Linked DNA regions of Oreochromis niloticus. The protein of the gene in region 2 purifies or fractionates together with the protein of the main gene of each other region. This does not show direct contact. Links are inferred from orthologs where the notes say so. Each region holds a gene or a part of one and is shown on either strand. Other genes may lie near its edges.

Region 1 (3,923 bases), on a different chromosome or scaffold from region 2:
TAAATCATTAATATACATTCTTTATATTATATTAATGAATATAATATTGAGGACTCTGTTGGAAAATGGCTGATATTTCTGTGTACTGCTTAAACTTTAGCAATCTGTCAACAATTTTGGCAACTTTTAGTATCGCTGACTTTCTTTATTTGATCAAACGTAAATAAAAGCAATAATAAAAACATGAAAGAAGCTTCTAAGAAGCATTTGTCACCTCATTTTTATGTTCTTATTTACTCACAGGTGTTTCCATCATCATAAAGTGGTGCAGAAAAGGCACAACATCATCAGAAATTAAAGAAATAATAATAAAAAAAAAACATTCAAATGTCCTGGTGGTGGGTGACTGTCTGTTTAAGGTGTCCTCCAAAATTCTCAAAGCTTGTTTTTGGCCACAAGATGGCACTACAATATCAGACCTCGAGTTTTTATGACTATAAGCAACAGCAAAAAAGTGGAAACCCATTCTGGTATCTGGTTTTTATAACCAAAAAAAGAAAAACCATATTCAATTTGTCGATACTTGTCGTGGTGAAGAAGGCAAGAAAAATTTCTGGCAGCGGTGGGATTCGAACCCACGCCATCGAAATGACTGGAGCCTAAATCCAGCGCCTTAGACCACTCGGCCACGCTACCGTGATACCCCACGTCAGACACATATCTATTTATACGACGGGAAACATCATCCTATTATTCACGTTATACGACTGATGATGGGATTTCACTAACACTAATACTAATAACTCTCTTCGAGCACATAATTATATTTGTAGTTATCATTGAAGCCCTGGATGGATAAGGCACTGCTAATCTTTTTAATAAGAGCTAAATTTAGTACTCCTAACCCAGTGTTAAGGCTAAAGCCATTTTGGAGCCCTGTTATACAAGTAAATATTTGCAAGGATGTTTGGCATGTCACCTGCACTATAGCTATTAAATGCCATGTAAGTGCGGTCGTAAAGCTTCCCGATGAAGCTCCGTGTTGCCCCACGTGGCCTGTTTAGCCAGGCAACCATTGCTTGGAGTGGCACTTTGGAGGATGGTACAAACTGTTCAGCTCGTGGTGCTGTCAAATACTCCTGTGAAAGTACACAATTTTGCTTTTTTTGCGGCCTGGCTGTACGATAATAATTTTAACCACTGCTACTTATGCTGTTTTTATTTGTTTACCAGATCTATTTCAGACCCGTCAGAAGTCTTTTCTTCCTTATCGCTAAACACTCATTTCCGTGTTATTATTCTATTTCCGACCGTCCTGAAAGCAGCAGGACGCAGGGGCGTGGCCAACAGAGAACACTGTGATACGTGCGGAGGGAAGCCTCCGCCGTGGTGGACGGAACAAGAACAGAAGCCCTGCGCCAGGCACGTTCCCGGACCTTGAGGATACCGCGGAGAACAAGGAGGCATCCACTCTTGTTTTGGTCTCAGAGGAGGGGTGAACTCCTGCTCCTGGAGCCCTGACTATTTAAGTGCAAACCAATACCGAGAGACGGAAGAAGACCGAGGTGACTGGATTTGCTGTCACAGTCTGTCAAGATTGAGGGATTAGAGGTGTGTCTTTACATCCGATTATACATTGGCTGGTCATTTAATACTTTTACTATAACATATCTAACAGCAGGTCGCGATAGATTAAATTAGAAGATGATTCTTTGTAGGAAACTCCACTGCTGCATGCTGTAGTTGTAAAACAGGAATGGCTGCTGCTATTGTTTTACAACGTGGGGGGGCACATTGAACCTGCAGAAGCATGTGCTTGGGTGTGCATTCCTGTGCTCCTACTTTAAAACTCTCACAGCACAGTAACCTTTGATTACACCGACCGACTGACTTGCTAGATAACACAGATAAAATGAATGAAATGCTTTTGATTGCTGGTGGCCTTACTGATAACTTAGAACTCCCATGATGTGTGTTGTTTAATGAAATCTATGGCTGTAACTCAAATGTGAAGGTCTAGCCCCCTTCGAAGTCCTCACATTCGGTGTAAGAGTTGTGCAGCCATGATCCATGCTTGTTTTGGACATACACTAACATGGCTGCCACCTGGTTCCCTGACTGTGCACTCTGCATGTGACTGTTTTTTCCCTACTTCCAGTCCATTCTCACACTCTGTTGTCAAAACAGCAACAGAAACCATGGAGGACGAACTCATGTTCAGGATGGAGGAGGACGGCAGCGCCAAGAGACCCTCTGCCCAGCGGAGCGCCCTCAAACACAGAGCATCCTCCCTCAGCGAGTCCAACGCCAGCGAGGATGACGACGAAGACCACTTCATCTGCCCCATCCTGGACGATTCGGCCAAAGAAGTGTGCAGCCACCTTAAAAACCTGGTTTACGCACGGCAGCTGTCAAACTCGCTCCCTAAATCCAACTTCATGTACAGGGTGAGATATAAGACGTGGGGATATGACAGTTTGTTGTGCTGATGCATCATCCCCGCCTCTCAGTTCTGCAATGTTTCTGTTTGCCTTTTAAGGTGTGATGATACGCGCATGCCTGCACACACCTACTGTGTGGCTTGTCTGGTATTTCAACACGTGTGTTTATGTGTTTGCTCGAGTGAAGCGCTGGTCAGCCCACCTTTTATTTAAATGTACTTTCTGACAGGAAGCAGCAGAGAGCGGTTTCACCTCGTGATTATGATGTGTGTAAACACGGCTCTCCCTCTCTCTCTCCCTCTCTCCACATCAGCAGGGAGCTGCAACAAAAGCTCGATTCAGTGCGCGCGGCTCTTTATCACAGCTGCTGTGCACTGTTGGGATGAATTGCCTTTTCAGTTTTTGTGTGGTGGTGTTGTTGTTTCAGAGCCTCCAGGCTGTAATTGTTATCTAAAGTGATGTTGCATACATTTCCTGTTGATGATAAAGGATCCGTTTTCTTGTTTGTTTTTTTGCATAGAACGAAAAAGAAACAGATACAGTGGCAGAACATCGACCGTACAAGGTTTTGTCTGAGAGTGCACGGGTATGTTTGGATCCAAATCTTGTTTTTTTTTTTTCTTCTCTCCCTTTATACCACTGACCATCCACGCCTCCAACTCTTCACTCTGCCCTTTAATTTGCCTCTCCCTGCTTTTACTTTTAACCACTTCATCCCTCCTGGATCTTGTTCTTTTTTTAAAAAAAAAAAATTTTTAATTGATAAACGTGTCGCCTGCTCCTCTTCAACATAAGTGCTGCTCCTTCCTCACTCTAAATAGAAAGACATCTGCTGGACTGTGAGCAGTGGCGCACGAGGAGGACGTGCTGCTGAGCAGCGTAGGTTGGGCCAAGGCTTGGGTTACTTGCTAACAGATTTAGCTTACTTGTGACACCTGATTCAAGTTATGTTTTTGAAAACTGCACATGTTCACTTTAAGGTAGCTGTAAATTATTTTATTTACGGTGACCTTACAGCCCAGAAATCCACTCATAATGTCACCATGTATTCATTCTCCTGTGGTATTTGTTTTCAGTGATTGTCTGCTTCATGTTTGTGTGCTTCGTTGTGAGCCGCGTGGTTGTTTTGACCCCCTAAGCACGATTTAAATTGAGAGGGAGAGCCCTCTAATGCAGAAATTGTGACATTGTAGATTTCAATTAGAGAGCTGATTATAATTGCAAGAAAACAGTGCATGCATTGTTGCGTAAAGAGAACAGACTGGCTTAGAACTGCTTTTATTGTGCAGATTAAACAGCTTTGCATGGAAGGGCTTCCCCTCTTTCTTCTGTGTTCGAGAAATCCTGATATGGGAAACTGACTTTTATTCTGCTCTTTATATTTCTCTCTCTTGTTTTTCTACCAGGCAACATGGCTGCACGCCATCGAAAAGGCAAAAGCGATGCCCGACCCCTGGGCGCAGTTTCACCTGGAGGAGATAGCGACTGAACCCTGCATTCGTTACAGGTCTGACTTTGACTTTGTGGCAAAGATGAAACTCT
Region 2 (3,923 bases):
GTTTCCTTTGCTCGAGGACTTCCAGGGTTCCAGAGATAATGTGGAATTCATGAGAGGAATGACACGCAGGGGTTCCTTCCTGTCACCTGACTCCATCACTTCCCGCGCTCAGTTTCCTGCGTCTGAATCTCGGAGGAGAATGGTGAGGCTGAGGAAAGGGGCAGCGGACCCAGAGCGAGGCCCCTCTTGTAGATCTGATGATGATCAGGATGAAGCCGGCTGCTAAACACAATCAAAATGATGAAAAGCGCAGATCTGAAATGTTACCGCCCGACTGCTGATGTAAATGATTAGAAAATTAACCGGAGCAAATGAACGTGGGCAAGAGATCAAATGAAAGGGATTAAACAAAGAAAGAGTGTGCTTTAAATGTGGGGGGAAAACATCTGCATGAAAAAAGGCAATAAAGAGAAAGAGAGAGGTGATGGCAGGATCTGTATGGGGCCTCTTGGTTTTTGGGCAGCAAAGGGGAGGCGTGCCAGGTAATGGTTTCCAGACACACACACACACACACAGTTGCACACTAGTAAGCCTACACTCTAATTCGATTTGGAAATCTGACGGGATAAGGGGTGTATATGTGGATGTGTGTGTATATACCTTGGGCCATTTTTCCTTCTCACTTCTTGCTTCTTCTGTGCATTGGGAGAGGGCCCGGTTAGTCACAACGTGTCGTCTGTGCGTAGGTGTGTGTGTATGCAAGCACGAGGGGTTAATGTATGCTTTCCATCACAGCTCTAGTGGGGAGAAATCAGATCCCTGCAGCGCAGAACTCAACCTCAATGCATGGACGGACACCCAAAGCATAAGAAAAAGAGAAAATTGTCCCGCCCCTTATACCTGTATGATCTGCACGCCTGTGTGAAGAGGTTAAGAAGGCCAGCTGCAATATCAGTGAAAGTGCAAAGATATGAGAATGAGAATAGAAATAGTACAAAAAAAAGAAAAAACAGAAAAAGATGAAAAGAAGAGCAAAAAAGGAGACAGGAAGAGCTAATTAAACTGTGGAAGGATAGATGTGTAGGAGCCGGAGGGAGGCGAGAGGGCGAGATGACTTAACTGTTCAAAATGACTCCACCCTCAGTCGCCAACGCAAACGGCAATTTCCCATTGGGGTAAATCCCCCACCGTGCCCTGTCACAGCCCTCCTACTTCTGCAACTGGTGTATGCGTGTCTGTGTTTGCATGTGTGTGTGTGTCACCACTTTTCTCTGACATTCCTGTGCAGAGCAGGGAGACGGTGAGCTGAGCTGCAGAGAGGCTGAGCTGCAAACCCAATTCAGAAATCCATTCGAAAGCAACTGAGGATTTTCTTTATGTTTTCCAGTCATTTTTCTTGCACAAGCCATCATTTTCTTCCGATTCTGGAATTCCGGTTTCAGAGAATCTGCCAGCAAGTCAGCTGGGACGAAGTCTTCCATTCTTAACACGGGATTCCTAGAAAAGCATCCTCTCGTTTCCTCCTCTTCCCTTTTTCTCTCCATCGCAAACCCCTGGAGATAGATTCCAAGTTTGCCAAGTTCCAGAGTTTGGGAATATTGTTGTGCTGCAGCCAGGAGAGGCTGAAACAACAAGGGGCACAGAGGAGAAAGCAGCACTTAAAGGGTGAGTTCACTTAAAAGATCAAGCTTTTTTTGTGGGGTCCAGCTCTTGTTGGCATAATGAGGTTGATTACTCTCTGAAGAGGAATGCAATAATCCTTCTATTCCGAGCTAAAGAACTTCTGTCTAAGATGGCAAAATCCTGTTTGTGCAAGTTTGCATTGATTTTGAATTGACTGTCAAAGCTGATAAAGATGTCTAACATATGTTGTCAGCAGTTTCTCCTGCAGTCTAGAGACTGATAGAGCTTATTGTTAATGGTGCATAAAAGTGGAGTGTTTTGCAAAACCTGTCACTCAGGAGTTTTAGTTGCATGTTCTGCTGATCCACGGCTGGGACTCGGGTGGGTGTGAAGCATCCGCCGCACATTAGGCTTAGGAGATGATGAGACGACAGAGAGAAAAAGAATGACATTACTAAGGGGCAGGTATATGCAAAACAAAAAGGCAGGGGATAGCTGGGGAGTTTCATCCTCTTTCTGGTTTTAACATCAAATAGTGAGGACAGCTGCTGGGAAAGGAAGCGAGCGATGCACACACACGTTATATTCCAGTGTCACAGGCACAGGCTCGGATAAATGCGCACAGATGTTGCATGCATGTATGCAAAGAAAGGATGTCAAGCTGACTTATGGTCGCTTTATTCTCTCTCTCTCTCTCTTACGCACACACACTCACAAGAAAGAGATTTAAACAAACACATCTTTGTTTCATTGCACTCATCTGTTTAGTTTACTCCTGGCTCAGATCACAGTATAATCCCAGAGCTGTAATCAATACTCATACACACACACACATAGACACACACACACACACTGGCCATAGGGAAAAAAACAAAAACACACACATACAGTACTTGCTTTTTTTAGGAGAAATAAGTCAGTTCAGCAGATGCAGCATATATACAGAGCATGGAGCAGATATACTCCAGCCTTTAACATAATAACAACATATCTTACTATTTTAATCGACTCTCATTTACTTATATCATATTATAATCTTTGCTGTGCAGCTCTAACAGCTTTAAGTTTGATGCTGAAGTTAGCTGTGAATGATGGTTTGCTTTGTCCAAAACTCCCCATTTGCTTCCTATTTCTATTTTTCCAACATGTTTATGCAGCACGTAGCGCCTTCCAAAGAAGTGTCTGCGTCATGTTGTTTGGTGAACAGACCTCGTAATGTGATGCTTTGACTCTGGTATGTTGGTTTTTGTGATGGCACAAAGATCAGGAGTGTTATTACTAATAATAATCCTGACAATGACTTCCGAAAGTATCCCTGCAGGCCATAAAAGTGCACCTGCTAGTGAATTGATGGAGCCATGATATCCATGTGCCATTATGTTGAAACATGTGAATAAAAAGCTCAATTTTTGATCATTGTATCTGCAGCAGATGATAAACTACATGGACAAAATTGCAGGAGCTGCTATGCTGTCTAAACCCATGTAAGGAAGCTTAGGTGCAGAGTTTTTGTGCAAGAGGAGGTTTGGGACGGACCTTTACGCACTACGCAGCTCAGCACTCAGCAACCCCACTCTGCAACCAATTTGGAATCACAAAATAACCAAACATTTATGTGTTTGAACTGTGGGAGGACAGAATCCACGCTGGCACAAGGGAAGTATGCAAACCCCACACACAGAAAGATCTCTGCTGCCCACTGCACTCAAATCCTGGACCTTCTTCTTTTTCTGAGGCAACAGTGTTACCAGTGTGCCTGCCAGATAAAACTTTGCTTTAAAAAAGCTAATGTATTATATAAATATATCATGAAACTTGGGTAAAGTTCTTTTTCTCAGTGTTAAGAGTCAAATAGATGATAATATGTATTACAGCCGTGTTTTCCACAGACATCGTTTTCCATTCATCACGTTATCATCGGTTTGTTTCTCTGCAGACCCTGGCTCCTGTAAAGATGGCTGACGTATTGCAGCCAGACTCCAACAGCCTGCAGATACCAAGTGAGATGCACACTCAAACACTGACACGCACACACATCAACACGAGTTTGCTATTGCAGTCCTGTCCAAATGACTCACTTCTCCTTCTTTATCTGTTGGACCGTGGACATGCTGACCTTTCCATGTCCCTCTCCCACTTGGGTATACTACACACTTCACATTCCAGTGGCATTCCCACGATTCCATTCCATTCCATTACGATTATCACTTTTTGATCTAGAGAGGTCAAGTGTGTTTACATTTGACCTAATCGTCTAACCTCCACGGTGAAAAATGAGGTGTTTTCTGCAGTTACTCAGCAAATACAGTTTCAGCATGTTAGTATCAGTAGCTGATGACAGTTCAGAACCACCTCCTTTC

What was found.
Region 1: the proteins of hspa12b (region 2) and eef2k purify together in Homo sapiens (affinity purification with mass spectrometry; 3 studies listed by BioGRID and IntAct, with this or other methods). This does not show direct contact. The link is inferred for Oreochromis niloticus from reciprocal best matches to the Homo sapiens genes HSPA12B and EEF2K.

What each region holds. Positions count from the first base shown.
Region 1 is NC_031973.2:9,895,379-9,899,301, forward strand, and holds the start of eef2k (eukaryotic elongation factor 2 kinase), read left to right. Parts: upstream 1-1,274; 5' UTR 1,275-1,551; intron 1,552-2,098; exon of another isoform or gene 2,099-2,127; 5' UTR 2,128-2,138; coding exon 2,139-2,387; intron 2,388-2,901; coding exon 2,902-2,967; intron 2,968-3,787; coding exon 3,788-3,888; intron 3,889-3,923. UniProt on the Homo sapiens protein: Threonine kinase that regulates protein synthesis by controlling the rate of peptide chain elongation.
Region 2 is NC_031967.2:9,944,659-9,948,581, forward strand, and holds the start of hspa12b (heat shock 70 kDa protein 12B), read left to right. Parts: upstream 1-1,131; 5' UTR 1,132-1,605; intron 1,606-2,991; 5' UTR 2,992-3,418; coding exon 3,419-3,563; intron 3,564-3,923.